Struthio camelus: one gene and its partners. The protein of the gene in region 2 purifies or fractionates together with the protein of the main gene of each other region. This does not show direct contact. Links are inferred from orthologs where the notes say so. Each region holds a gene or a part of one and is shown on either strand. Other genes may lie near its edges. The genes, in order: TMEM94, CDK5, CABLES2 and C2CD5.

Region 1 (7,958 bases), on a different chromosome or scaffold from region 2:
AGTTTTGTTTTAGGAGATGTCAGTTAACCTAGGCAATGAGTTTGGGAAATTAATTTTGACTTGATGAATTTACACACAGCTTGGCTTGTCAGGGTCTCAAAATTATTGCGCCTGAGAACTGTTTAAATGAACTGAGTTCCTTGTGGGTAAACGCTCACATTTCAGTTAGCACCTTTTACAGGGAATCACAGTGGAGGTGGGGGGCTGAATGGCTCCTAGAAAGAGAACTCCCATCCCTAGAATGAGTCCTTTGCAGGCTAGGATTGAGGCACCCTCATGGAACAACATAGAAGTATATTCTGTCATTGTATGCTATATCTTTTGAGGATAAAGGTAGGGCTTCACTCCCCTGGACACTTAGCTTGTCTTTACTTGAGAGGCTGAATTAATGAGAAGATTTTTAAAATAAAATATAAAATAAAATAATAAAATCCTCTGAGTCCTGTTTTTCTGATGATCAACATATGTATTTCTTGGGCAATTGTATGCCTTTCCAGGGAATGCTGCAGGATATCATTTGTAGAAAGTGCAAGATAAGGCTGTATATTGTGTGGAGGGGCAATCTGTCTCTTGCTACCCTGCTGTGCTTTCAGCTTCAAAGGAGAAAAGCGAGAGATCTTCATTAATAGCTGCAATAGGAGCTAGAAAGAACATATCTGCTGTGGTTCGCAGGAGACTATTAACCTGATACATGTTACTGCTTCCCAAAAGTAAAATCCAGAATGATTTTGATCGCTTAGGATCGCTAACTGGCTACTTACTTTTTAGCTATATTCAGTAGCCACCTAAATATTAAATGTATTTGTCACTCAAAAAAGTGAACTGGTACATGCCTTATTCTGGATCCCAGTCAGAAATGAGAGAGGTAGCTTGAGACCAGTGGAGAAGATTGTACAGGCCAAGTTCTCAGGTGGCTCTGGTAGGAGAACATTCATGGCTTTGCCTCTTTTCCTGTCTCTCTCTTCACCACCCTGCTAAACTTTGTATGCTAGATTACATGTTTGCTGTCTTTCTGTTCTGCCTGCATCCTTTTCTTGTTGTTTTGTTTACAGTGCTTCCAGCATCAAGAGGTGGTTTTGTTCGTTAGTGCAAAGTACCTGTTAGATAGCCACCTAGATGTAGACCTGCTCTATAATACTAATACAGCAGTGAAAGCGATTTAGGAGCTGCTCAAAGTTTCACGTCAGCTGTTGCACTTGCCTGCTGGAGTTCTTATTTGCTGGAATGGCTGTTCCGTAGCGTGCGAGACCAGGAAGGCTTGGGCTTACTCATGCCTGAAACTCTCACCACTGGTATGCTCTGAGGACATGTTTGAACTTTGTCGTTTTATGTACAATTGCTGTATGACTGTGGAGGTGACATTCCAATGAAGATAATTATCTATTTATTCTGTTGTTAATAGCATCTTGGGCTAATCTGGTATTGATCATTTTAAGAGATGAAGCAATTACCATTCTGTGCAGAGGTGTGTTTTGAATGGGATCTGGGAGCTCCAGCACAGGCATTGCTGCAGCGGATTATGGGGAATCATAGTTTTCTGAAGTCCTAGGCTCCTCTCCTGGCTTAGTGAAGTTTTAATTCAAATGAAAGCAAAAAGTCACTGCATTCTTTTCAATAGCAAAAAAAAAAAAAAAACACTGATGCACATTGATGCATTTTACCGTTTACTTTGTTTGGATTCTGAGAAAAGATCCTGGTTTCATACTTGTTAGCAGTATGTGGTTTGATGTTGGTTAGTGAGCTTGGTCCTCTTTTTTTTTTTCAACACTGCAGAACCACGTTTCATCGCCTTTAAAGTGGAATCTGTCTTCCTTTCCAAAGTGAAGAACCTGGATGCCTATATGTTGATAAAGGAACCAATTAATCTGCTGTGGTAACTTCAATGATAAATCCGATGTGCTAGGTTTATTTTAAAATGCTAAAAATCAGATGAACCCCCACTGAAAATACCAGTCTGGAATCTAATTGACAGCAATCTCTTTACCCTAGTATATGCATGTGATGAAGAGTTAGATCTTCTGGAACACAAGATGCGCTCTGAGCACAACCGTAGCACAGACATCTGACACTCAGAAGGATGAGAGATTTGTCCTCTGGCTCCAGTCAGCTAATACAGTTCCGTTGTCAGAAACAACTGAGGATCAGAGTTTGTCAGGTGTAGTGCAGGGTTTCTTCCAATTTTTGCAAGAAACTATAGACACTGCAGAGACAGGCAGAGAGTATCTTAGGAGCAGTGCCAAAACCTTGTTAAATTAAAGGTGCTACTGTCTTGCTCTTTTGCCCACTTCTCCTGACTTGTTAATTTTCTGTGTATTTTTGAAATGAACTTAATATTGTGAAAGGTACCAGAATCTCTGCTCCAAGATCTGCAAAGCATATACCAAGGTAGACAGCTTCACTGATTGCCACAGGGCAACGTGAGACTCCTGAGTTTGAGTTACTTTAGATATAGGCTGTATTTGAAGCAACTCCATCTATTAAAAATTATTGGCATAATCTATACCACAATTACTGTAGCAGCTGAGCTGTATTATCCTAGTGAAATTGGTGCAGCCTGGATAGAGCACTGTGCCTCATGGTCGGAGCCTGGAAATGTACTCGCGGGAGCCTGTGCTGTACTCTGCGCAGCACTAGTGTTGTTGGTCCTCAGCTATCTAGTTCTAGCATGTCTAACGAGCTGCAGTCCTGCCTTTGGACTGAAAAGTAGCTAAATCTTCTGCCTCTTCTTGTCTTGCCAGTAACTGTATCTCTGTTTTTTATTCCTTGCCATGCAGCTTCTCTAAAACTTCAGCTCTTCTTCCAAGGGCTTTTCACACACTAATCCTTCTTCCACAAGCTTCTCTCTTCTGTGCTGCAATTTCTGTATGGGTCTCAGCCCCTTCCCTTGCCTTTGTACTCTGCCTTTCGCTCGAACCCACAGTTTTATCTTCAGACCTCAAGATTCTAGCTCTGCTCTTTCAAATGCAGAAATGCACAGCCAGATGCAATTTATGATACCAACTGTTATCAGAAGGAAGTTACACAGCACAAATGATTGCCCTACCCAAAACATTTTAGAGCAAGGTCTCTAGAGGGTGGGGTAAACAGGAAGAGGTGATTTGGTCCATTTCCATTTGTGTTCATTACCAAAGCTGGAGTTCCAGAGCCAGGAGAAAGTTGTGTTGGGACTCCTTCACCACATGAAGCGCAGGGGTTGTTCCTAGACTTGCACAGTGATCACTCCGTTTTTCTATTCACAGTCATTTGAGTTTCCAGAAGGTATTTACACTGAGCCGTAGGAAACAGTCCAGCAAGCACTGAGATAAGAAGAGGTTGATTCACATATGTTGTGTGAAGATTTGCACATTCTAACCCCATCTCGGTGGTATTGGTCCTTTTTTTTTGTTTTTCCTTTTTTTTTTATATGTGTTGAAATGGGTAGGTGACTTTAGTTTCTTAGTAGGAAAAGAGGAGGGAAGGAAAAATTGTACCCTTAGGACACCTTGTTCCTCTCTGCAGTTTGAAATTGTTGTCTAGGAAATAAAATGCCCTACAGAAAGATGAAGGATATCTTCATCCCTCTTTCTCCCTCTGCTCTCTCACTAGCTCTCTCCTAAAGTGACGCTAAAGGCACTGTTTCCCTTTAACTTTGGCTTTAAAGTAACCTGCGAAACTACATACCAATGTGTAACTCAGTGCCAGCACAGCGATGAGAACTCGTTCTTTCAGGGGTTGTCTTGGATCTACCGTACTTTGGGGTTATTGTAAATATTGGGACCTCTGATGTCTGCATTTCTGGCTTTAAATGCAGCATATGGGCTGTGTCAGTTTAGCCATCTGAATCTCAGGGAAGGAAAGGAAATGAAAAGCTTGGCCAGGGACAGTGGGTGAGTACTGAGATCTTCACATAGTCCTCCAAGCTACATTAAATGCTGGCTCTGGAAGTCTTTGCAGTGTGTGTCTGTTCCTTTTTATACAGGCTGCTGGGTCCTTGGCAAGCTATTGACGTGTTTCTTGTCTGGGTCAGTTCTTCATCCTTTTATATATGGTATGAAAGCAATTGTTTTAATGATTGCTTTGCAGAACTGGGAGGACCCAGACAGAATCAGGACAGCACTGAAGTAGGAGCTATATAAAAGCCACTTTTATAAAGACACTGTGCTTTCCTTTAACAACAAGAGGGAAGCGTTCCCGTAAAAGATGAGAACGAGAGAGAAGAAAAATTCCTTCTTCACTTCTGAATACCCATTATTCCATTTCGTGTCCTTTCGTTCCATCTCTGCTCAGAGGTTCCCTGTGTGCGCTAATCCTTTACCTTCTCTGTGCCACTGCCCAGGTGTCAGTGAGCCCCAGATATGGCACATGGCTATGAATAATCTGCATGCACCTTGTTTTAGCTTGTGTGGCTCAGGATGTATGAACATTTGATGCTGAGAGGGGCTTTTGCTGCTTTCTCCATCAAGAAGGGAAGAGGGAGGGAATGCTTCAGACTGGACCTGTAGCCGTCTCAAATCATTTAAATAAGTTTTTTTTTTTTTTTTTTTTGAAATTGAGCTTGGAGCTCCAAAGCTGTGGAGTCATCTGGATAACTCTCCTATATTTGTGTAAGGGGGTTAGGATTCCTGGATCTCTTTATCTTTATCTAGTCCTTTTTCCTGGGCCTGCTCAGGTGTTCCTTCTCTGGTAGTATATTTTATAGCACTTTGTCCTGTCTAATTTGCCATCTGCTTTTCCACAGACCCTGTCTGTCAGCATCATCCGTTGCTGTGCGTGCATATGCATCTCTACAGGCAGGGAACCCACGGATTCTGGCTGTGCTGGCTCCATCTTGTGAATGGACCATTCCTGCAGGCAGCTGGTGCTATCCTGTGCAAACTTTCTTCTCTCTTTCCCTTTTTTTTTTTCCTTGCTATCCCTCATCCCTCCCCCATCCACCGCCTCCTTGCTGGATCTGCAGCATGACTGGAAACAGGCTGAATTAATCAGCAGACTGGTGCTTCACTCTGCTGCTTCTGTCTCGTTCTCTGCAGCGCTGGGCTCTGCACAGTCTGGCTCGCTCTCCCTCTTTTGCTCTCTCATTTCTGGAGGGCAGCAGCAGTGGAAGTTGCTGTGGAAGTGGTGCAGGAATTTAGCCCAGATGCTCTTTAAGCAGGCCGATCTCTGGATCCCCCACCAAGGCAAATGCCGCAAAGTAAGTTTCTCTCCCTTAGCATTTAAATTCAAAATGGCTTTCCCTCTTTCCTTCCCCAACCTCCATCCTGCCTGATGTGATGGTGCATGAAGGGCTTTGAGGTTCTGGGGAAAGAGATTATGTCAGGAAATGAAGCAGGGAATGATAATTTTAGCTAGGGATGTCTTGGTCTTGGAGGGGGTGGGGAAAGAAGCTCTGTATTAAACTATAGATTTAATTCGAAAACGAAGTGGAGGGGCCAAACATGATCTTAGCTACTGACTCCTGTTTTGCTGCCTCTCTGCTTCGGGTCTCAAGTTTATCCGTTTCTTGTACGTGCTTTGATCTGTAGATGTTGAACCTCCTTACCCCTTGAAATATCTTACAGTGCACCTTCTAGGCTGTGTCACAGTTTTAGTTCCCAAAGTCTTCAGATAAACAAATAGGGGGCAGGAGGTGAAAGATGTGCTGAAGTTCCCTGGATTTCTGAGCATTGCTGGCCTCAGGAGGAGATTAACATCCTCTGGAGTCAGCTCTGCACTGGCATAAAGCATTGTACTTTATGTTGAAGCCAGAATAAATATGGACCCCCTCCCCCCCGACTGCTTTCTGAACTTGGGGAAATACTGCAACTAGATAAATTATGGTAATTAAAGCTTGATAATTGCATAGCACAGGTGAGCTTCAAAGCACTGCATAAACACTGCCTCATCCTGCCAGCATCCTGGTGGGGCACGTAACTATGGTTGGGGATTTGCCTGCTGCAAGGAGGACCAAAGAGACAGACCCGGGAAGGTGCAGTTCACAACTGGGCTGTTACCTGGGGAGCAGGCTCCTCTCTCTCTGCTGTTGAACTGCCACTAGCTGAGCAAGGAAGAAAGCACCGAGCTTTGCGTTAGCCATGTGAAATGGTTGATCGTGGCTGTTGGCATCTAACACTGTGCTTTAGAGAGGGCATAAAATTTGAATGTCACTGTCTGGATTAAAATGGACTCTGTTCACACCAAAATGCAGTGCTGATTCAGATGGCTGATTAGTGCTGCTCTGGCCAGATCTCGCAGAGATCCTTGCTACCGCTGCTGTGCCTCTTTGCAGTGTAAGTCTGCAGGCCCTGTTAGTGATGAATGGCAGGGAGCCTCGATGTCCGCTTCCACACCGGAGCCCCCGCAGGCCCCCCGTTACCGAGCTGTGGGAGCTCTTTTGTCCACGGACCGGGGGAGGTCTGGGCTGACTTTCATACGGTGGCTACAGATGGAGGAAGGAGACAGTTGTTGACTGTCGCTCTGTCCATTAATTTGGGCACTGCTGTGCTGAAGGCTTTGCTTGTTTCATTTGATTTGAGACCACCCACAGCTAAATGGTGGTTGCCAAGCTTGTGTCAGGTGGCATTTAAACCAGGTTTAAAAGCTGCGTTGGTTGTGCTCTCTGGAGCCTTTCCTTGCGTGTCCAGTTTTGAAGGCAGTGGTCCCCACAGAGCTGCGATGTGCTTGACAGAGCTACCTGAATCATGCAGATAATCATGTATTTCTTTTTTCTGTGCTTTCCAGTAGCGTTCAGGTGGGTTGGTGAATATTATAATCTTCACAATGCTTCAGCTGGTAGGGAGGTGGTATTCCCATTAAAGAGGTGAGAAACTAAGGCACAGAGGAGTCTGCAATTTTCCCACTGTCATAGAGAAATCTGTGGCAGAAGCAAGAGCAGAATTTGGGTGTCCTGACAGTTAGTCCGGAGTCTTAAACAATTCTTTATTGAATGGGGAGTGTGAATGTGTGAGGGGGGAGGTTTCACGCAGTCTAGGTCACTGGACAAGCGCTGTTGCTAAGAGTCAGGCATCAAACCTCCTTTCAACAGTAACCGGGTAAGCACCCAGAAGGACAACAAATACAATTTGTGTAGGTAGTAATGGGAAACTTGCCCAGAATGGCCTATCCATTGGCTTTGCCTGCTATGTCTCTATAATTTTGTACAACGGGTATTCGATTGCAGGCAGTCTGAGCATTAACTCAGCAGCTGTGGTCGGACAGAGCTCTAGCACGCTGAAGTATGATTTGTTTTAGAAGAGAAATAAACCCCTTCCTAGCACTAGCTTGCAGTAAGAAATGTTGCTCCAAGAAACTGCATGCTGTGGTGTCTGATGTCTGCCATCCTCTCTGACGGGAACAAAAAAAAGCTGTGGGTCATATTGTGCCTTATCTTATGCAAGAATCTGACTTGCAGTACTGAATGCAAATACAGTTACTTCTTCTCATGTGTTTTTGAAACTGTGAATAATGCCTATATTTCAGAAGGTCTAATCCCTGAAATAGATTAATAGCCTGCAGAATATCATTGGCAAATTAAAAACTACCTTCTTGTTTCTGCTAGAGGAATGCAAAATAGCTCTCAGAAAAAGGAAGAACGTTCTGCTGCCCTGTTTCTCTCCTCCAACTATTTAAATCTGAAAAGCAATTGAATCAAAGTGTTAAAAAGGGCGGGGGGGGGGGGGGGAGTCTAATGTGTGCAGCCTGGAACGAAGGAAATGATCTGACAGCTGCCTAGTAGGGGCTCTCCATACCTCTGAATCAGATAAATGGAATCGCAGTCTATGCAAATTAAAGCTTCTAGCAAATCTTCTGTTTTCTGTTCCCTTATTTACTTAAACAATCTTTTAAAGGCAGTTGTATTAAATTGCACGGCACTCTTGGTGAGGAGCCCTTACTCTGCAAGAGACTGAATCCGCAGAGGACAGAGGATATCTACCACTTTACTGGACTGAATCTACTTACATGTCTATAGAAGCAGTGGGGAAGGTGAATTTTATAAGTATATA
Region 2 (7,416 bases):
CACGACGGGCTCCAGCGCCACGCAGTCGGGCAGCGCGCCTGGCCCATGCGGCGATCGGCTCCCCTCTAATGACAGGGCTGCGTCCCAGAGCCCCGCGGGGCTGCGCCGGGGCCACGGCCAGGCTCATTATCCCCGCGGCTCAGCCTGGGAATCCCGGCCAGGACGCGGCTCCCAGGGTCCCCTCCCTTCCGCTGGCCGGCAGCGTCCCCCGGGGGGATAGCTGGGCCCGGCACCCACGCGCAGGGCTGGACCCACCGTCTGCGCTCGAACCCAGGCTCGCTGTGGAGCGTTGGGGACGGCCACCAGCCTGCCCTGGACTGGCTCCAGGGACGCGTACAGCCTCTCCCTGTCCCTTCTCCGCACGGGACGGCACGGGACGGCAGACACGGCTCACTCCCTCACAGTGCTGGTCAGCAGGCGCACGAGGCTCAGTCCCTTCTCCCTGCCCTGGTCCGGGATTCACGTGGCCGGCGCAGCATCACCCCACGGTGGTGAGCTGTGCTGTGCACACAGTGCTGAGAGGAGCTGCTGCCTCCGCTCGGGGCTGCGCACGGAGACCGGGACGCAGCTTCGGTCGGGACGCTCCCACCAACGTGGCACACTCGGAATAGCATCCCTCAGCACAACAGTCAGAGAGCGCGCGGCGGGACAGGACCTGTCAGGTACAGGCAGGAGAGCAACACGCAGCAGAGAGAAAGGGCCTGGGCGGTTTGAAACCTCCTCCCTCGAAACCCGACTTGCGCCTCCAGCACCACACAGCTCTCACGGAGCCGCTGGAGCCCTCTGAGCACTAATGTCCCTGCCCGCGCTGCCAGCCCAGTGCTGCGGAGCCTGGGGGCACCCCTCTGCCGGGAGCCCCCTGCATCGCTCCCGGCTCCAGCCGCACACCGTGAGCAGACCCTGCGGGGGGACAGGCACCGCAGGGCAGCACTGCTGGCAGCAGCGCTGGCCCCTGACACCGCCTGCGCCTCCCGACCCGGCTCTGACGCGAAGGACCTGCGTAGCTCCTGTCGGGGACACGCAGAGCTCTGCTTGCAGGTCCTGCCCCAGCGCCCAGGGCAAGAGGCACTGACAGCACCCAGGCAGAGAGGGCAAGGAGCGGGGGGCTGCCCACCCCAGCGCAGCACGGCCATGCGCCACTGCTCCGGACCGCCCAGCACCGCTGCCCTCACCAGGCACGACCCAACGTGGCGGTCTGTCTGCCCCCGGCCCTGCCCGCAGGTGACTCTGTCTCCTTAATGGGATCAACACGCCGCTCTCACGTGCGCAGCGGAGCCCGCAGGAGGAACTCGGCGTCCGGCACCAACCTGCGGCGCTGGGGAGCGCAGGACAGAGCCCCACGCTGCCGACAACCCGGGTCAGCCTGGCCGAGGGGTTCAGAGCCAGCCCTGGCCCCTGCTCTGCCTTCGCCCCCACGGCAGCCAGCAGAACGGCCCAGCTCCTGCTGGCCAGAACAGCCGGACGGGCCGCACAGCCCACCAGGGCTGGGCAGTGCGCTGGGTGTCAGGACGGGGAGCCGCCCCCACGGCGTGCTGCGGGGAGCAGGAGCGGCCCCATCGGCACCGAGGGGCCGGAAGAGCCACCTGCAGGGAGGCCGCCGGCTGCCAGGAGGGTTGTTAGGGCAATGAAATCCCCGTGCTCGTGGCAGCCGCTTGAAGTGGTGCAGCGACCCTGAAGGGCATGCGAGCAGGGCTGGGCACCCTGCCGCCTGACGGGCACGGGGCTGATTGTCCTGACAGGCGCAGGAACCCCGCGGCCGGTGCGCACCGCGGCCGCCGACAGCCCAGGGGCTGCAAGGGGGAACCGGCCTGTGGGGCAGCACAGACCCCCCACAGCCCGGGCACCAGACGGGGCCCCTGCCACCACCAAGCGTCCGTCACGAGCCCGCCGGAGCAGTCCTGCTCTCGCATCAGAGTGGAAACTAAAACAGGGCCCAACCCTCCCTGCCCGCATCCCCAGCGCCGCTGACGGCCCCGTGCCAAACAGCCCAGCAGGACACAACAGTCCCACGGAGATGGTCACCACCGGGAGCCTCCCACTTCCCACCTCGCCGATGTAACCACACAGTATGTGCCCTGGGATCAGCGTCCAAGACAGCGGGAACCCACATCAGCGCCTTAATGAGAAGGCGTAATTGGGCTGGACCCGCGCCCGGCATTGCTCAACCCTTGCAGCATTACGCACACGGGCAGCACCGCTCACCACCCAGGACGGGGCATCGCGGCTCTCGGGCGAGCACCTCGCTCGGCCTGGTGCTACCCCTCGCAACCGTCTCCACACTGTGATCCGAGACAGCCCGGGGGGGAAGCCGGGAGGCTGCAGGGGGGCAGGGACTGGCAGAGCCGCGGGACGCTCCGCAGAGCCCCGGGCGGCTGTGAAGCCGAGAGCCGGCCGCGCTGCCGGACGGCTGTGTCCCGCCAGGTGCTCGGGGTGGCCCGCGCGGGGGTCCTGTCCCGGCCTCGCCCCACGCACAGGGGGCCTGTCCCAGCCTCGCCCCACGCTCTCACCTGTCCAGGGACTCCGGTCGGGCTCAGACGTGGCAAAGGGAGGGCGTCGAGCTGCCTCGGGCCATGCCACAGTCACTGGAAAACACGGCAACAACAAGGGTTTAACTGCTGCAGCGGAGAGATCTCTGCTCTTCTGCCTCCGGCGGAGATCTCGGGAAACCCCTCCACCCCTGAAGAGGAGGCAAACCCCAGCGAGGAAACGCTGCGGGGCGGCGCAGACGCACGGGGGTCTTTCCCCGGCAGCTCGCCTCTCCTGGCAGGGGCACCGTGCGGCGACGGGGTGCGCGACGCCGTGAAGAGCCGCAGACACCCGTCACCGGCCGGCCTCGGTCCCCCTCGCTGCTGCCTCCGAATCCCGAGCCCCCCCCAGGGCCCCCTCGCTGCTCCTCCCCCGGGGACCCCTCCCTCGCTCCTCCCCAGGGCCCCCTCGCTGCTCCCCCCCCGGGACCCCTCCCTCGCTCCCCCCAGGGGCTCCTCACTCTCCCACCCCCAGGGCCCCCTCGCTGCTCCCCCCCAGCCCCAAGCCCCCGCCCGGGACGCCCCTCGCTCCCCCCCTCGAGGCTCCGAGCCCCCCCCCCCGGGACCCCCACGCCGTCCCCGCGGTGTCCCTCGCTCCCCCCGCCCGCCCGAGCCGGCAGGGCAGGGCCGCGCCTGGGCGGGCAGAGCGGAGGGTCCCGGGGCAGCAGCGGGCGAGGGGCACCCGCGCTGCCGGCACCCCGCGCCACCGGGCCGGGCCGGGCCGGGCCGGGCCGGGTGCCCGCGCCGCGGCCGCAGCGGGATGCGGGGTCGCTCCCCCCCACCCCCCGCGCCGGGCGCCGCCGCCGCCGCTCACCGGAGAGCCCCGCCGCGCCCGCGGGTGTGCGCGCGACGCGCGGGGGCGGCACCGGGCGGCACCGGGCGGCCACCGGCCCCCGCCCCGCCCCACCCCGCCCCGCCCGCCGTCATCGCTGCGGAGCCGGGCGGGAACCGACACCGACACCGACACCGCCCCCGGCCCCGGCCCGGGCTGCCCGGGCACCGCTCCTCCCCAGAGCGGACGGGCCCGACCCCGCCTCGGGCTGCCCCGCGGCCGGCGGCGGGACTCGAACCCGCGGCACACCGGGAGGTGCGGGGGCCGCCGGGAGCCGCAGTGCGCGCGGGGCCTGTCGGGATCCGTAGTGCGCGCGGGGCCTGTCGGGAGCCGCGGTGCGCGCCGGGGCCGCCGGGAGCCGTAGTCCGCGCGGGGCCTGTCGGGAGCCGTAGTCCGCGCGGGGCCTGTCGGGAGCCGTAGTCCGCGCGGGGCCTGTCGGGAGCCGTAGTGCGCGCGGAGCCTGTCGGGAGCCGCGGTGCGCGCGGGGGCGGCCGGGAGCCGTAGTTCGCGCCGGGGCCTGTCGGGAGCCGTAGTGCGCGCGGAGCCTGTCGGGAGCCGTAGTGAGCGCGGGGCCTGTCGGGAGCCGTAGTGCGCGCGGGGCCTGTCGGGATCCGTAGTGCGCGCGGGGCCTGTCGGGATCCGTAGTGCGCGCGGGGCCTGTCGGGAGCCGCGGTGCGCGCCGGGGCCGCCGGGAGCCGCAGTGCGCGCGGGGCCTGTCGGGAGCCGTAGTGCGCGCGGGGCCTGTCGGGAGCCGTAGTGCGCGCGGGGCCTGTCGGGAGCCGTAGTGCGCGCGGGGCCTGTCGGGAGCCGCGGTGCGCGCGGGGGCGGCCGGGAGCCGTAGTTCGCGCCGGGGGCCGCCGGGATCCATCGTGCGCGCGGGGCCTGTCGGGAGCCGTAGTGCGCGCGGAGCCTGTCGGGAGCCGTAGTGAGCGCGGGGCCTGTCGGGAGCCGTAGTGAGCGCGGGGCCTGTCGGGAGCCGTAGTCCGCGCTGGGGGCTGTCGGGATCCGTAGTGCGCGCAGGGCCTGTCGGGAGCCGCGGTGCGCGCGGGGGCCGCCGGGAGACGGCGCGGCGGCTGCCGGGAGGGGCGGCCCGCGGCGGGGAGGCGCAGTCCGGCGGGCCCGGTGCGGAGCGCGGCGCCATGCAGAAATACGAGAAGCTGGAGAAGATCGGGGAAGGTGCGGGGCCGGGGGAGCGGGCGGGCGGCGGGGGCTCGGCCCGGGCCCGGGGCGGCGGGGGCTCGGGGCGGCGCCACGCCAGTGACCCGGCTGCCCGCAGGCACCTACGGGACGGTGTTCAAGGCCAAGAACCGGGAGACGCACGAGATCGTGGCGCTGAAGCGGGTGCGGCTGGACGACGACGACGAGGTGAGGGGCGGGGGCGGGGGCGCGGCGGCGGCGGGGGCTGAGCGGCGCCCCCGGCCCCCCTCGGCTCGGCTCTGCTCTCCTCTGCCCAGGGCGTGCCCAGCTCGGCGCTGCGCGAGATCTGCCTCCTCAAGGAGCTCAAGCACAAGAACATCGTCAGGCAAGGACGGCGCCGGCACCGCGGCCCCCCTTCCCCTGGCAGCGCGCTCCCGGCCGGCTGGCGGCGGCGGGCGCCGGGTCACAGGGCTCCCCTCCCTCTTCCAGGCTCCACGACGTCTTGCACAGCGACAAGAAGCTGACGCTGGTGTTCGAGTTCTGTGACCAGGTGAGCCGGCCGGGAGCGCCGAGGCCAGCGCCTGCCAGCGCGGCCCGCAGCGCCGCCTCTCCGCTGAGCTCTCACGCGGACGTTGCTTTCGCCTTCCTAGGACCTGAAGAAGTACTTCGATAGCTGCAACGGGGACTTGGATCCAGAGATCGTCAAGGTGTGTTTCGGCGGGAGGCTCTGGGAAGCCCTTGGGAGAGAATGATGCTTTCCCTGTGCTAGCTGCCACATTTAGGACTATCGAGCTCTTTACGCAAGTCAGACTGGGGCGTTGCACGGGCTGACGAGTCCTGCTCCGGTCTGTGGTCTCTTCTGCAGTCTTTCATGTACCAGCTCTTGAAGGGGCTTGCTTTCTGCCACAGCCGCAACGTCTTGCACAGAGACCTCAAGCCCCAGAACCTTCTCATTAACAGAGTGAGTGACTGGGTCAGGGGTGGGGGTAAGGGGAGCGAATCACAGTACGGGCTGCACGCTTGGGCACGAGACGTCCTGGCTGAACCGAGGAGGACGTTTCACCGGGGGAGCATGTGGCTCTCGGGAGATTGCACTTCTGTCTTGTTCTGTGTTATCTTTTTGGTCAGTGAAAAAGGAAGAGGGGTCTGGAACAGTAGCTGCTGCAGACTCCAAGGCATGCAGCAGGGACTGAGCGTCTCCTATGAAGCCCTGCTGATGCTGTCTTTTCACTGCAGAATGGGGAACTCAAACTGGCGGACTTTGGCTTGGCCCGGGCCTTTGGCATCCCTGTGCGCTGTTACTCAGCAGAGGTGAGTTGGGAGCTCTGTGGGATTTTCATTGTAGGCTTTTACCTCCAGGAGCATTTCATAGCCCCCACCTCTCTGAGCAGCTCCCCTGTTGCTTGCAGCGCAGCGTCATCCTTGGGGCTGTGTTGGCTGAATGGTCAACACTGCTTCGCTGCTCCTCTAGTGCAACTTCCCCTCTTCCTCGCAGTGTGGTGCTCCTCGTGCTGTCCTTGGGCCTGCTCTGCCTTTCTCTGGTAGTCCAAGCTCTAGGAGACTTGCTCTTCTTGCGCTAGCTGTTGGGCTACGTGCCTGGGCAGCTTGGGTAGTGTTTTTCCTGCGCTAGCTACTACACCTAGGACTATCAGGAGCTCATTACAAGAACCAAACTGTGGCGTTGCACAGGCTGAGGCATCGCGCTCAGGTCTGCGCTCTCATTTACAGGCTTTCACGTACCGGCTGCTGAAGGGACTTGCTTTCTGTTACAGAAAGCTTTCTGCTTTCTTTGCCGTCTAGCTTTTGCTGGACTCGAGGGCTGATAGGGCTGGCGCGTGTGGAAGCACCCGCAGATCAATGGGGAAACGCAGTCCTCGTCTCTGTGCCTCTGTGTAGGTCGTCACTCTGTGGTATCGGCCGCCAGATGTGCTCTTCGGCGCCAAGCTCTACTCCACTTCCATAGACATGTGGTCAGCTGGCTGCATCTTTGCAGGTAGCTGGGCCAGGCTTTTCCTGTTGCGGGGGGTTCTGTCCCGCAAGGGGAATAGGGCTGTAGGGCCTCCAGGGCTTATCCTGTCTCTCTCCTTTCCTAGAGCTGGCTAATGCTGGGCGGCCGCTGTTCCCGGGGAATGACGTAGACGACCAGCTGAAAAGGATTTTCCGATATCCTTTTGGTGCTGCGGTTGGGGTTGTAGTGGGAGAAAGGGGCCGCCTAATTCTCCTGCGCATGGCTGCAGGAGGAGAACTGATAGGATTACGTGTGCTCGCCCGGGAGCGCAGGTCTCTCTGGCTGGGGCTAGAAGGACTCCTGCAGGTGTGGGAACTGGGCGTTCTGCTCTCGTGGCTGGAGCAGAGGTTGCTTCCTTTGGCTGAAGAGGCTCCAAGGAGCAGGCTAGAGAGGTGGCCCTTGACTGCTTCTGTCCCTACGCTGCTGGGAACCCCCACAGAGGAGCAGTGGCCAGCGATGGCCAAGCTGCCAGACTACAAGGTGAGCCGCAGGTGGCGGTGGAAGGAGGGGACAGCGTGGCAGGCCCAGCACCCAGGGCTCATGTCTGTCTCTCCCCAGCCGTACCCCATGTACCCTGCCACGACGTCTCTGGTGAACGTGGTACCTAAGCTGAACGCGACTGGCCGGGACCTGCTGCAGGTGAGCGTTCTCTCTTGTCCGTCACTGCTCTCTGTGCAGGTGGCTGGGCAACGATTTCAGAGGAGGGAGAAGGATTCTTGACTTCTTAAAGTGGTTGACGTCTCTCCCCGTGGTCTCTAGACTGCCTCGTATCCAGCGTCGCTGCTGTGCCGTTTGTAGGGTACGAGCAGCCGATCCTCCCTTCTCCCTGCTGACGTGGATGGGGGAGCTGTGAGGCCAGGCCGCTCTGGGAACCCCAGTGCCCACGGAGGGAAAGGTTGCCGTGTCTCTCCAAC
Region 3 (6,891 bases), on a different chromosome or scaffold from region 2:
CTCAGCTGGGACTGCTCTGCAGGCTCCAATGACAGAAGTGCTGATGGCTGAGATTTATGGATGCAAGGAGTGTTGTTGTACCCACAGGAAACCAGAGGATATTTCCACAACGGCTGAGAGAAATATTTCAGGTTTTTTACCAAGCTCCTGCGTGTTTGGGCTTTGGGACAAAAGCAGCATTTTTCTTTCCATTTCCCCTTTCCTGAGACAGATGGCAAAAGAAGAGAGGAGCTGGCAAGAAAAGATACCTGAGTGTGATATATATAACAATGCTGAACTAGAAAAGGCCTGTTGGATCACCAGGTCCACACTACACTTTTAAGTGGAAAAACTTGTACAGAAATTTCTCACACTTCATCTTAATACTAGCAGTTCCTCCAACTGGAACACTGTTCCTCTGATTCCCAGCCTAAATATATTCATGACCTGTTTATCTTTGCTTGGTTTTGGGCCATGATTTTGCAAAATTTTAACACCCAGCCCACATAGGCAGTTTAAATGCTGTCTCATTTCAGATGCTTAGACCAAATCCTGCAGTTCTTGAATGTAGAAAACTCGCAGTGACTTCGGTAACTATATTCCCCTCACCATGTTGGAATAAAGGCTTGCAGGTTTGGTCCCCTCCCTATCAGCTCCTTATTCTGGCAACCCTTTGACTGTTCAAACATATATCCATGCTGTTCCGTGCTTACTTTATGGTAGAGCTTTTAGTCCAGGAGTCAAATGAGAGGGTTAGGTGTTGGATATTCAAAAGAATGCTTTACATTTGTGCCATAATGCTGTTGTAGGTGCAAAACTGCACTGCAAAACTCCTAAATATTTATCTTGAGGGGGGATTGCAACAGTTAAGATTCAAACATGCCTCAGCCCAGAACTTGGAGCTACTGTGCAGCAGCAATGCGACAAGTCAAGCCTTTTGCCAAAATAACATCACCGTGCTATGAATTACTAGCATCTTCGATCAAAACAGAGCTCTGTCTCCCTCTTTCTCCACAATATGGTGATTCCCTCAGGGCAGGAAAAGGTCATGGAGAGAAGGTTGCTCCGGTTGCACCCCGTTACTGCCGTTGGTGGAAATGATGCTGACATGAGGCCCATCTGTTTTAGTGGCAGATTCCTTGAAACATAGCAATATGCCTGCTATATTCATTCACTGTGAACTAGTTTGCTTGTCAAATGTAGATGAAAGCTCCCTAGCATTAAAGCGTTAACAGCAGCAACGTGCAAACCTCTGAATCCAGCTTTGAAGTTAGCAACCCACTAAGATAGCTATGGAGGCTGGCTTCTTTCTGCTTCATCCTGTGCTGACTCAGTGGGACAATTTACATCCTACAGCTGTTTTGTCAAGGAAAGAATGAAAAAATACCATTTATTTTTTAATTCAAATCCTGGGTTCTGGAAAACCCTCTGGAGAAAGCCTCGCTAAGTTTCCATGCCCATTTATCCCATGGCTTCTTTGATGAGCTTGCCAGCAAGAAGGATTTTAATTCCTTTTTATCCCAAATCATTTTTTCTGCAGATGATAGGATGATCCTGCCAAATAATCAAAATATGACCTGTATTGAGTATCACAATACACTGAGGATATCTGTGGGATTTTAAGGGGACTGTTATACTGCACTACATTGTTTTAATAGCTTTTTAAGTGAAAGCCTACAGAAAACAGTCTTATGTTTCCTATCCTATTGTTATTATTATTATTAAATGCTACAAATACTATAACACAAGTGTTTATGTCCTACTTAGAACAGCATGCAAAAAAATGGATCTTATGAAACAGCCATATAAAAAGACTTAGCAACTGCACGATGTTCTGTAAGACATTTTGAAAATCCACTTGTTATTTAGTGCCCACATTTCAGGTCATGTCGTCAGACGTCGGTTGGATTCCTGGTGTAAACTGCAAACAATTGCAGTCGCTGTCATGTTGCTTCTTTAAAAAACGGAATCTTAATAGGCAAAAGAAGTGGCCATTGTAAGGGTCCAGTGCTGCAAATGCACTAGCACCTGCTTAACTGTAAACATCTCATTAGCCCCTTTTTAATGGCAAATTTGGTTTGGTGTGCTTGTGTCTACAGGCAAAATCCACCTAGAGTACCTAAGGTAGGAAGCGCTGAGAGTTTGTAAGGCCCATTTTTGTTCCTAAAGAGTACAGAAGCTGTGAGTTTCCTGCCACACGTTCACAGCACCCACAGCCCGATGCTCAAAGCACGGAGGCTTCTTCACCCCTAGCGAAGCTCTCCGACCCCCTCCACGAGGCCCAGTCGCACGGATGCTCCCACCCATGTCCTTAGAGCGCAGAGGAGAGACGGCACCGTTTTCTGGTTTGGCAAGCGGTCAGAGCGTCGCCCTGGGATGTGGGAGCCGGTTCAAGTGCCTGAGGGGGGTGTTTACACTGTGCGGTATAAACATCTGAGTCTGAGAAGCGGCACGCTGTGTAGATACGCCTTGAGTCACTTTTTTGGAGATAATGCTAAGTTTATGTTCTCCCAGATCCCCACTGAGTCTTCTCCGGGTCCGCCTTTTCCGTATGCAGCCCACATTTAGCCCTGTGCTCTGTCTGCTCTCCTTCAGCGAGTAGGACACCCGGAGATCTAGCGCTCTGTGCCGTTTTTGGGTGCTGCCGGTGAGTCTCAGCGTAGTCCACAGGTAGCCGCACTCCCAGAGCCGGCGGGCTGGTGTTGAAACCCAGCCCCACCATCGAACTGGGAGCTGCCCGCGGGGTTGCAGCGGGAGGTCGGGTCCCAGGCTCCCAGACTGGGATAAGAATAACTGCCCTTATCTGGTTTTACGGAAGTTGTCTGACGTGCACAAATGCGTGCTGATCACTTTAGGGGACGTGTCTACCCTGCTGGCAGGAAGGCTGAGACCCTGGGAACACGAGACCGCTGGTGTCTGTTGTGTGGGGACGCGGTGGGTGTTTGTGAGGGGGCACACGGGTGAGTGTGTGTGAGGGGAGGCAGGTGAGTGTGTGTGAGGGGAGGCAGGTGAGTGTTTGTGAGGGGACGCGGTGGGTGTTGTGAAGGGATGTGGTGGGTGTTTGTGAGGGGATGTGGTGGGTGTTTGTGAGGGGACGCAGTGGGTGTTTGTGAGGAGACACGGTAGGTGTTCGTGAGGGGACGCAGATGGGTGTTTGTGAGGGGATGCGGGTGAGTGTTTGTGAAGGGACACAGTGGGTGTTTGTGAGGAGACACGGGAGGTGTTCGTGAGGGGACGCAGATGGGTGTTTGTGAGGGGATGCGGGTGAGTGTTTGTGAAGGGACACAGTGGGTGTTTGTGAGGAGACACGGGAGGTGTTCGTGAGGGGACGCGGATGGGTGTTTGTGAGGGGATGCGGGTGAGTGTTTGTAAAGGGAAGCAGTGGGTGTTTGTGTGGAGACACGGTAGGTGTTTGTGAGGGGACGCGGATGGGTGTTTGTGAGGGGACGCGGGTAAGTGTTCGTGAGGGGACGCGGTAGGTGCTTGCGAGGCGACACAGGTGGACGTTTGAGAGGGGACGCGGGTGCGTGGCGGCGGTAGGGGCACACGTAAGGGAGGAAGGGGCTGTCTGCGTGACTGTCCCGGGGAGAGGGACAGACCAGGTGCGTGACCGGAGGGGGACAGCCGGGAACGGGTGCCCGGCCTGCCCGCTGGTGGCACCACAGAGCTGCGCGGCGCCGATGCAGGCGCGGCGCCTCCGCCGGCTCTAGGACCCCGCCGAGCTCCGCCGGCCGGCGAGGCGGGGGCGGGACTACCCATGAGGAGCAGCCGAACCAATGAGCGCCGGGCCGCGGCCTGGCTCATTTGCATCCCGGCGCGCCGCGGCCAATGAGCGGGCGGGCAGCCGGCCGCGCCGCGCTGCGCGCCACCCCGCCCGGGCGGCCGAGGCCGTCGCGGCTCATTCGGAGAATGGCCGCGGCCACGGCGTGCGGCTCGCCGCCCAGCCGGCCGCCCCGCGAGCAGCCGCCGCCGCCGCGGAAGCGGGGCGACTCCCGGCGGCGCCAGGCCGCTCTCTTCTTCCTCAACAACATCTCCCTGGACGGCCGCCCGCCCTGCCTGGCCGCCGAGAAGCCGCCGCCCCCCGCCGCGGGCCCGGGCGAGGGAGAGGAGGCGGCGGCGGAGCCGGCCGGCGCTCTGCCGCGCCTCCTGTCGCCGCCGCCGCCGTCCTGCCAGCCGCCGCGGGCCCCCCACGCGCCCCCGCCGGCGCTGCTGCTGCCCGGCGCCCCCCTCGCCGCCGCGGGAACCAAGGGCGAGGCGGAGCCGCCCCGCGGGGGCATCTTCCTGCCCCAGCTGCTGCTGGGCGGCCAGCTCTGCCCGCCGCCCCCGGCGCCGCCCGCCCCGCCGGGGATGCCGGTGGCCGCCAAGCCGGGCGCGCCGGGGCTGCTGAGCCCCACGCCGAGCGCCGCGGGCGGCGGCTTCGCGCTGGAGGTGCAGCGGCAGAGGTGAGTGAGGGGCTGGGGGCTCGGCTCCTCCCCGCGGGCTGGAAACGGGCCGGCCCTCCCGCCGCCCGGCCGCGCCGGGGCCGCCTCCTCCTCCTCTTCCTCTTCCTCCTCCCCCCCCCCCCCCCCGCGGGCAGAGGCGCCGTGACCCGCCGTCCCCCCGCCGCGGCGGGGCGTGGGACGCGCCGGAGCCCTGGGAAGAGCCGGACTTTCCCAGGGCCCGGGGACACCGGGCATGGGAAACCGCCGCCCCTAGGGGCGGCCGGCCGTGGGAGACGGGGGCTCTCGCTCGCTCGCTCCCCCTGCCGCCGGCCGGCCTCTTCCCTCGCCGCGCTGCCGTGCGCCGCCCCCCGCGGAGCCGCGGCGGCGGAGCCCGGCGCCGGGCGAGCACCTGCCGGCGGCGGGGATGGGGCAGCGCTGCCGCGGGCTTCGTCGCCGCGGACGCGCTGCCTCTGCCCTGAGCGCCGCCAGCCGCCGGGGCTGCCTTTGTTTACATCCCGCCTCTGCCCTGCCTTTCCGCCGGGTGCGCCGATGCTGCAAGGGGGCTTCTTGCAGCGCTGCTTTCCTCCTCCCTTAGCTGCCCTGACGGTCGCGGTGGCTGCGCTGAAAGTGCCGCATATGTTGCTTAGCTATTTGTCTGGTTGCCTGAGCGAATGCCCAAAGTTGGGCAAGTGTCTGGTGATGGGGATTTGCAGAATATTTGGGCAGCTTAGTCTCCAGCTGGGGTTCTGCAGTAACCCAAATCCTTCATGCTTTGTGCTTTTTCAAAGCCTGATCTTTGAAATTTTCTGTTTGTGGATGAAGCTAATAGAGGCGCTGTTAGATAAGCTCTTACTCCATGTAATCTGCATACTACTGAGTGCAGTACCTTCCCTTAATTTCTGCTGCTTGTTTACACAGTAGCTCTAAGAGGAATATTAATACATGCTCGTATGCTGGGATGTTTCTCAATCCTCTGCAGAGAGGGATGTTCCCCCCTTCAGAGGGAAATTATTGCTGTACAGCCAGGGGACTCTTATCAGCCTGAAAGTGTGCAGTTTCTCATCTGAAAGGCAGGATCTTGTTCCGATCTTTGGGGATTGAAGTTCTAAAGCAACTTTTGTCAGGCCTTTTCCTTGGAGAAGTAGCTTTGCAAAGTGAGCACATATGAGAGTACATATAGGCAAAAACAATATCAAAGACATCCAAGTCTGTATTCTTTATAGTGGCTTCCAGAGCTTTGTTGGTAAACTGAAATAGAGATGTCTGTCCTTTAAAGCTGAGGAGCTTTGCGCATACAGTTGATTAGTGCTCCGTTTCAGTGCACAGCCACGTAACGGATGTGTCCTGTTGATCAAGAAACTGCTACATGGCGGTTCCGGTAAATTTTAGAGGAAAGCAGGTATTTGTGAGTAAGAATGTTTTTAGGGGTTGCCCCTGCCAGGTTTCTTTCTCTTTTGAATTGTCAGGGACCACCCATTACTTTCCCTTTCATAACGGCAGGCACCTTTCTTTCCCCAATTCTTGAAGAAATTGAAAATGGGCCTCCTACTTTAATGCCCTGTATGCACAAATTACATTGTTATGTGCAGTTTGTGCAGTAAAGCCTAAAGTAACAGTGTTGCTATGACACAACTTCTTCATAGCACTCCTGCGGTCCTCAAAACCCTATTTGGTGCTCTAGGTGCTGTGCCATTCACCGTATTGTTTTAATATTGCCCATCAAGCTTTTGAGGGCAAGTTTTACAAGTATAATTACCTCTGCGTGTGACACAGATTGCTCTGTGCACAGGCATACTGAATTTTGTACAGCTGGAATTCATGCAAATTATTCACTCCTTCTCCTTTCCATGCCGAGTCAATAGGATACAAACAGAACATGTCGGAATACATACTCCTTGGATCTTCTCTTGATGTCCTTCCTGTCTCTTTCCGTGGCATCTAATTTTAGATGTTGTTATGCTCCGCTATAAAAATTCTAATCAGTCATTCTGAAAAGAATGTTAAATCAGGAGTAAATGGTAGAGAGAAGTGTGAGGAGGATCATCAGAGGAATGGAAAGGGTTTCTGCATGAGCAATAGCAAAACAGACTATGAATTTCTTTAGCTTGGAAAACAGAGGGCTGAAACATGGCGTTGCCTTCATTGTTTTATGTACCTCTAATGAAGGTGATCTGGAGTGAGAGTTCATGTTGTTTTTTTCTTTTTTTTTTGTCTTAAGGAGTTGTGGGAAGCACTCATTGCAATTGTCAGGCAGAAGAGGCACATCTTTTTTTGTACCTGCCTGATTAAGTTGTCGGACTCGTTGTTGCAGGAGCCCGAGAAGTGTAAATGGCTTAATAAAGGGACTAGACCAATGAATGGATCACAGGTCTCTCAGATGTTGTTTGACCCTGTGTCTTATTGAATCCTCCTCCTTCTGGCAAAAGGGATAGTTTTACACTGCCTGTGAGGATGCATTAAAAAACTCTCCCAAAGTATTTACTACCAGTCG
Region 4 (7,018 bases), on a different chromosome or scaffold from region 2:
AAGCTTCACTGGAACACTGGTTACAGTTTAGGGTACTACACTTCAAGAAAAACTGTGGCCTGTTCAGAGAGTCTTCAGAAGAAAGGAAGATGATGTTTAGAGACGTCAATAAAGATTGATGAAGAAAGACTGGAAACATTCAAGTTACTGATTTTAAACATGTAAAAAAAGAGTTAGATGATAAATCCTTTAATATATAAAAAGTTATTGCAGGAGTAAAAGTTGAAAGGGAACAATTATTCATTCTCTCTTATAATACAAAAGATAGGCGTCCACAAATGAAATTAGTTAAGTTCAAAATAAAGAGATAAACTTGCCCAAAACAAGTAGCTAACCTGTAGATCTTATTGGCCCTGGATACTGTGGATTTTTTTTTTAAGCTTAACTAAAAGTGTATGTACCAGTTATTACCAGTTTAATCCAGTAAGGCTCTTCTAAAGTGATAATCTGTTTTTCAGGTTCAGTAGATAAGACAAAGGGAAAAAAAGATTTGTATTTTATCACAAAAGATTCAGTTTAAACAGTAGGGAAACCTTTTGAATAAGTTTGAGAATAATAAGCATTGAAGTGAATTGCCTGGGAAGATTAAGAATCAGGCTCTTTAAGAATCAGGAGTGATACAGGTTTATGGAAACCTGCCTGGAAGAGCTTACTGTGCTGGATGTTCTCTTGAAAGCTTCCCTTTCTGCAAGCATCTGGCACAATAATACCTGAATTGTCCACAGACTGCCCCAAATTGTAGCTATCTCATTTAACAAAGCAGTATATTCAGTCAGGTATTCATTGTATTAACTGGCCATTAGTCAGTCATGCTGTCTGATGCTTGGAGAACAAGAGAGCTCCATTCTTTTTGTTCAGTGTTGTAGAACTTGTCCCAGTAGAAGGAAAGACAACAAGAAGAGAAGAGCTAATTCTAAAAAGACATACAAACTTAGATTTAAGGTTCCTTTAAGATTTTTCAATTAAATGTGAGTAACAAAATAGAATTTATCGGAGACAAGGGTTTAGCATAATTTACAAGAATCTGTTTTATGTGCACAGAGGACTAGCACATGTATTACTGGTATCAAAAGTTCCAAATAGTCAGCCTTTTTTTTACAAGTATATATAGCAAACCTCTTCTTCTGTATTATTTTGAAACAATTCAAACTGTATTACAGCAAGAACGCTGTGACTGCTCAAAATGGCATGGCTCTCCAACATTTTCACAGAAGTAAAGGGACAGGAGTTGGGGATGCTGGGGCCAGCTTGTTACTCAGCATTTACCATCAGCCAGCCAGTTGAATATGTATTCCACACAGGGACCATGCTGACATGTGGGACCCAGCTGAAGTGTATATATTGTACTGAGTTCTCTCTATGTGACCACATATGAGTTTTCTCTTACTGCTGGGTAACATTCCATAAGCAGCATCTGATGCGACAGAGAAAGGCACACAGAAGACACGTCTAACTCTCCACCCTTGGCTGTGATCTAACATCAAAAGCTTACTCTGGCTCGAGGAATCCATGCCTGACTAGAAGGGTCTAGGAAGACCCTGGCATCACAAACATGTTTCCACTTGTGATTCCTTTGTAGTGGTCTGCTGTGATGTTGTGTGCTCATGGTGGCCTTGGGAAGACACAAATCCTGTCAGTGACCCAGCTGGGAATACGTTCACAGCAAAGACCTGGAACTCCATGAAGCCTGTGATGTTAGGCCACTCATGGGTAAACAGTCTCCACCACAATCATGCCTGCTACAGACTTGTCTCCTCTTCACTGGTAGGTACAGGGAGGCCTCCAAAAGCAACACTGCTGCCCAGAACAGGCTAGACAGATACTCAGTGTTGAATAGTAGTTCACCTGGAAAAGAGCCCTGAAGACAGCACTCTCCCTTTAAAGCTTCTGGATTCAATGCTAGTCATGCAGGTATACGGTGTAATTTTATCTGACAGACAGATTATACCTGGTCCCTGCATAGTTCCCTGAGCCACAGACCTCTTTACGACTGGTATGGTGCGGGTAGCGAAAAAGTTTATACCCTAATACAACGCCACAAACCTGTGCTGGTTAAATAAGCTGTTAGCAGGAGTCTTTCCCTCCACTCTCAGCTCGATCAATGAATAACAACTTGCTTAGCCTCATTTTGGAAAACAAAGTGGCATCAGCAGCGAGCCTGAGATGGTACCAAGCATGAAGGTGAAAAACAGATGAATGGTGTGAGCAAGCAATGCGGATATGAGCCATTTGTACCTCCTGAGTGATGGCACAGAAACCACTGCTTGGTGCGTAACTTCCTTAAAGTGTAGACAGCAGTGGGGAATATTGTATATCTTAACACATAGTTGTATGTGTGTATCCTTACATGTTTATAATATACAAGATACTTCCCCTTTTCCATCTCAAAGCACTAAAAACTTGCTTTCTTTCAAATTAAAGCAAAAATTTTAATGTATTCACACCTCTTCATACGCTGAAACAAAAAATATGCTACATATCACAAGACATATAGCAAAAATCATAGCAACTGCAGTTTCCTAAAATGCTTTATTATAATTTAGTTAGCAAGAGAAGCAAAGTGGATGTTTTGCCATATAAGGAACATATGTCACAGTTTGCTTGTTCGTCCTTGTGTTTAGTCAAGAACTGACTTTACTCTCCCTACATCTTGGGGCATAAAGTAACATACCATCAGATAACAAAGGCCAAACAATGCAACAGAGAACATTTTCTTGTCATCACAACCGTCTGCTGGCAACTTTCTATTTTAATAGGGAAATTAAGACACAACTGGCTATGTTAGCAAGTAATGTAGTTGATTAATGGCAGATCTTTAGGGTGAAAGGGAGCTGAGGGCCCTGCATCCACACAGTCAACACACATTTCAGGAGATTTCATTTCAGACTAGCTTAGTTTCCTGCCATGGACTGAATGTCCTTGGGCAGCCGGAATGTATCAGGTGTGTTGTTAGAGCATATTTTTCAGTTCAATCATACTCAAAAGGAATATCCAGTTCATATGCTCTGAGACTGCTCCACGACATGAACCAAAGTCTATTAAGTAGGTGAGATCAGCAGATTCTAACACAGGAATTGCTAACACAGGAATTACTAATTAGCAATATAGTCCCTGGCTTTGATTCCCTCCCTGGATCTTTAGGCTTTATTGCTCCATCCTGTCTTAGAAATAGCCTTATTCCATTACTCCACTCCAGGATGGATGAGGAAGAAATATGCATCTAGCCTGTTTATAGTTTGCGCAGGTATGATGGGCAACCCCCCGCCCCCTGCTTTTTGTCTGGTTTAAATCCTTTGCAGGAATCTCCCATGGGGCACTCAGAGATGCCCGCCTGTGGCGCACCCAGGACCGACCGGAGCTCCCTTCTCCTCTCCACACTGCCTCACCCACCCCACAGGAGCAACGGACGCCAGCTAACCCCGCCGCCGCCGCGGCCTGCTCCCCCGGGCGCCGCTCGCAGGCCGCCTTGGCCCGGCGCCCCGGTGCCAGACCGGGGCCCCGCTTCCGACAGATAGCCGGCAGCGCGGCCTGAGGGCGCCGAGGAGACCGGCCCCCGGTGGCGGACGCACCGGCCCCGGAAGGCGGCGGGCAGAAGGCGGGAAGTGCGCCCGCGCCCACGGCAGCCCCGCCAATCGATGATTCGGCACTCAAGCACCTTGACTTTCCTTCCGCAGGACCGCCGCGGTGCCAGCGCAGAACCCATCGAGGAGTCGACGTTCGACTCCCAGCTGGGTCTCCGTGCCCCCGGCGCCATTTTGACACGAGGTGGGGCGACACCGGTGCCGGAGACGGTACGGCGCCGCGGCACCCTGTGGCCGCTGGGCGCGGGGGAAGGCGGCTGGCGCCTACCTCGCCGCTCCCTAGGCGCGCTTGGGCCGCCCGTTTGCAGTAGCCACCCGGTAAGTAGCGCATGCGCCCGAAGGCTGTTCCCTCCCCGCCGGGTTGCGTCACGCCGCGCGTGCCCCGCGGCCGTTGGCCAGGCAGCGGCGGACCGTTGCTCGGCGCGGCGCATGCGCGTCCTCGCTCCCCCCGCCCCCGCCGCTCCATGGGACACCCGCTGTTGTTTTCTCCTGGCAGCCGGCGGGAGGCGGCGGCGGCGGAGGAGGAGAAAGAAGATGCCGGGGAAGCTGAAGGTCAAAATCGTGGCAGGGCGCCATTTGCCAGTGATGGATCGCGCCAGCGACTTGACCGACGCCTTTGTGGAGGTTTGCGAGAGGGAGGGGCGCTGTGCCGTGCCGTGCCCCGCGGGAGGGCGTGCCGCCGCCGCCTCCGGCCCCGCGCACCTGCCGCGCTGAGCCCGCGCAGGGGCGGGCGGAGGCCGCGCACCTGCTGGCGGCCCGGCCCGGCCCGGCCCGGCCCGATGCGCGGGGCGCCCCCCGCTGGCTGGCCGCGCTGAGGTGACGGATGCTGGCCCGGTCACGTACCTGCTTGCTGGGGCTGCGTGGGACGCGCTGCGGTTGCCCGCTGCCGTGAGCAGGCCCTTTCTGGGACGCGTTTCGTGCCTCCTTGATGCTACCTATAAGTTTACTGTTGGTTGCATCTCTTTTGGTTGGGGGCGGGGGGGAGGGTAGGCCAGCCCTGCCAGTGCTACCTGGACTATCGTGCCCACTGTTGCTCTGGTCTGGAAAGCGATTGCAGAAATGTCAAGGAACTCCCTGAGTCTGTGTCTGCTGATGTATGTTTTTTAAGCTGTTTCTGGTACAGTTGTGTGTGACTTTTAGCTAAGAGCTGTAGAGAATCAGAATAGTGTTTTAGAAATACTGCCTTTCTTTTCTTTTTTCTTTTTTCTTTTTTTTTAAAGCCTCTCTCTGATGAAGATTGTTAGTGGACAGGTCTTGCTGATGTACCAGGCAAATGGAATCTATTTCAGGATTCCGTAGCTGCATTATAAACAGAATGGAGAAGTTGTAAAAAACATGTTTAAGTCACTTGTATCTCTCAATATATGAAGTGCAAATGTGGTTGTACAGGCTTCACTTTCAAGGCCAATATTCATATCTTTATTTAAAATATTAAAAATTTTTGAAAGACAGTTCTTGTTGAGGACAAATACTTAATTGCATGTTTAAATCATGTTGTTGTACTGGAAGTATCTTGTGTTAACCAATCTGTATGTAGTTAACAGGCAATATATAAGGAATTTCTCAACAAGGGATTGTAAAATAAATTGACATGATCCTCCTGTTTTATGATTCAATATTTCCACTATAAATAACTTAGAACAATTTAAATAGACTTCCATAGATTCAGATATCATACTTTCAGAAAAAAACAAGGATATTTAAAAATGGGATACTACAGCAAGCCTGTACTGCAAAAAGTAATTGACTTTAGCATAATACTGGAATTAAGGTAGGAAAATATAATGTCTTTCTATAACTATGTAATTTGAAAAGTCTGTAAATATTAATCTGAGAATAGATTTTGGGCATGTAAGTCCTAACTTAGTTTGTTGCTTAAAATTTGGTTAACGTCAGACACTAAGTGCATTACTTAGTGGGATGATAAGTAAGTAATAAAGAAAAAATGAGTTTTTGACATGCTCTTTAATGGAGCTGAAATAGTCTCTAATTATTCTGTTGTGTTAAATAAGTAACAGCGATTTAACTTTGTATTTCAGTGTTTAGTTTCAAATATTTCAGTAGGTTTAATTTATAAATAGTTTCTCTTGTAATTTTAAATTTGGTTAAAAGGCAGCCTAGAACAACTCTGCTGTGTGGTACTAGGAGACAGGGAAAAAAGGGTATAGGAGATACTCTGATGAGTTTCATTCAGCTTGTTGTTTATGCTGTATTGAGCAAAACATGTCTCTGTCCTCCATTTGGCCGCTTTTTCCCAACCCTGCACCATCTATGACAGCCTTACAGTGTGAGTAGCTGTGTAGCAAAGGGATCAGGAAATTCATCTGCTTAAGCACTAACTTAGCGGGAAAAAAAAGTTATTTTTCAGCAGGATCAATTTGCTTATCTGGTTTACTGAGCAGCTTCATGAATGTTCTGGCACAAATAAGGCAGAAGAAATACGTAGATGGGGCCTTGCTTTTAGGACCATTACTTGCAACAAATATTCAGAGGGTGGGGACCTCCCTTTCCACATGGGGAGTAGGTGAGGCAGCAGGTGAGATTTATGTCCAAATAGACTGATCTTGAAACTGTTTTTTTTTTTTTTTTTGTAATATGTGTATGGTTGCTGAAAAACTTGACTTCTGCTTTTAATCTTTAGCTTTTTTCAGCGACAATACCATGTAATGTTAAGGTACTGGTTGACTACTAACCTTTAATTTCTTCCTTAGATATTTTAATTTTAATCTAGAATTAAAAAAGGAGGAAAGAATTTGGAGCTCTTACTTGGCTCAGGTTATGCATAATTTGGATTTTGCCAGCAGAAAATGTATGATTTAGAGCAATTTAGCACCAGTTTGTCTGCAACTGTGCTTCTAAATTTCAACAGCAGACTGCAGTGTAGTGAAAGATTACCTATATTATTTTTAGTGGACTAGCTTGACTGCTGGAGAAGTTTAATTGTAACTGCCTAGGGCTCCAAGGGATCTAATTTACTCTGCTAGATAGCATGCAAAATTAGTTTGGGTGGCGCTAGTGCGTGTTGGCTGTTTCCAGTGTATGAGGTAGCTCAATTAAAACTAGCATCAATATCCCTATATTATACTGCTTTGCATAGTGAATACGGTTTCTAAGTTAACAGCACAGCTACTTTCTTTATCCACATAGAGGCTGCATACAGTTTTCGATAGCTCGCTGACTTTTTCCTAACGTTGCTTAACCCTGTGTTTCCGTACCACCTTGACTTTTAACTTTAAAGATTACTTTGTAATTAGTTTCTTTTCCAAAAAGATTACTGTTCATTAAATCATATTGAAGGCCTCATTTTTATTTATTTGTTTTTGTGGTCATAATTCTATATAGAGCTCTGACAGAGGTATGGTTTTATCTGTAGTGCTCATTGTGAACTTACGACCCAGTTTTTCAACACTTGAATTTTTTTTTAATTAACTGGATGT

The links.
Region 1: the proteins of CDK5 (region 2) and TMEM94 purify together in Homo sapiens (affinity purification with mass spectrometry; 5 studies listed by BioGRID and IntAct, with this or other methods). This does not show direct contact. The link is inferred for Struthio camelus from reciprocal best matches to the Homo sapiens genes CDK5 and TMEM94.
Region 3: the proteins of CDK5 (region 2) and CABLES2 purify together in Homo sapiens (affinity purification with mass spectrometry; 6 studies listed by BioGRID and IntAct, with this or other methods). This does not show direct contact. The link is inferred for Struthio camelus from reciprocal best matches to the Homo sapiens genes CDK5 and CABLES2.
Region 4: the proteins of CDK5 (region 2) and C2CD5 purify together in Homo sapiens (affinity purification with mass spectrometry; 6 studies listed by BioGRID and IntAct, counting the BioPlex papers as one, with this or other methods). This does not show direct contact. The link is inferred for Struthio camelus from reciprocal best matches to the Homo sapiens genes CDK5 and C2CD5.

The regions. Positions count from the first base shown.
Region 1 is NC_090960.1:8,344,434-8,352,391, forward strand, and holds the start of TMEM94 (endoplasmic reticulum magnesium-transporting P-type ATPase), read left to right. Parts: upstream 1-4,956; 5' UTR 4,957-5,116; coding exon 5,117-5,170; intron 5,171-7,958. UniProt on the Homo sapiens protein: Could function in the uptake of Mg(2+) from the cytosol into the endoplasmic reticulum and regulate intracellular Mg(2+) homeostasis.
Region 2 is NC_090943.1:498,367-505,782, forward strand, and holds the start of CDK5 (cyclin-dependent kinase 5), read left to right. Parts: upstream 1-4,413; 5' UTR 4,414-4,496; coding exon 4,497-4,533; intron 4,534-4,633; coding exon 4,634-4,722; intron 4,723-4,811; coding exon 4,812-4,879; intron 4,880-4,983; coding exon 4,984-5,044; intron 5,045-5,144; coding exon 5,145-5,201; intron 5,202-5,359; coding exon 5,360-5,455; intron 5,456-5,730; coding exon 5,731-5,805; intron 5,806-6,390; coding exon 6,391-6,487; intron 6,488-6,587; coding exon 6,588-6,657; intron 6,658-6,921; coding exon 6,922-6,982; intron 6,983-7,060; coding exon 7,061-7,141; intron 7,142-7,261; exon of another isoform or gene 7,262-7,397; intron 7,398-7,416. UniProt on the Homo sapiens protein: Proline-directed serine/threonine-protein kinase essential for neuronal cell cycle arrest and differentiation and may be involved in apoptotic cell death in neuronal diseases by triggering abortive cell cycle re-entry. Interacts with D1 and D3-type G1 cyclins.
Region 3 is NC_090959.1:15,662,162-15,669,052, reverse strand, and holds the start of CABLES2 (CDK5 and ABL1 enzyme substrate 2), read left to right. Parts: upstream 1-3,888; coding exon 3,889-4,421; intron 4,422-6,891. UniProt on the Homo sapiens protein: Unknown. Probably involved in G1-S cell cycle transition.
Region 4 is NC_090942.1:75,529,801-75,536,818, forward strand, and holds the start of C2CD5 (C2 domain-containing protein 5), read left to right. Parts: upstream 1-4,008; 5' UTR 4,009-4,010; coding exon 4,011-4,205; intron 4,206-7,018. UniProt on the Homo sapiens protein: Required for insulin-stimulated glucose transport and glucose transporter SLC2A4/GLUT4 translocation from intracellular glucose storage vesicle (GSV) to the plasma membrane (PM) in adipocytes.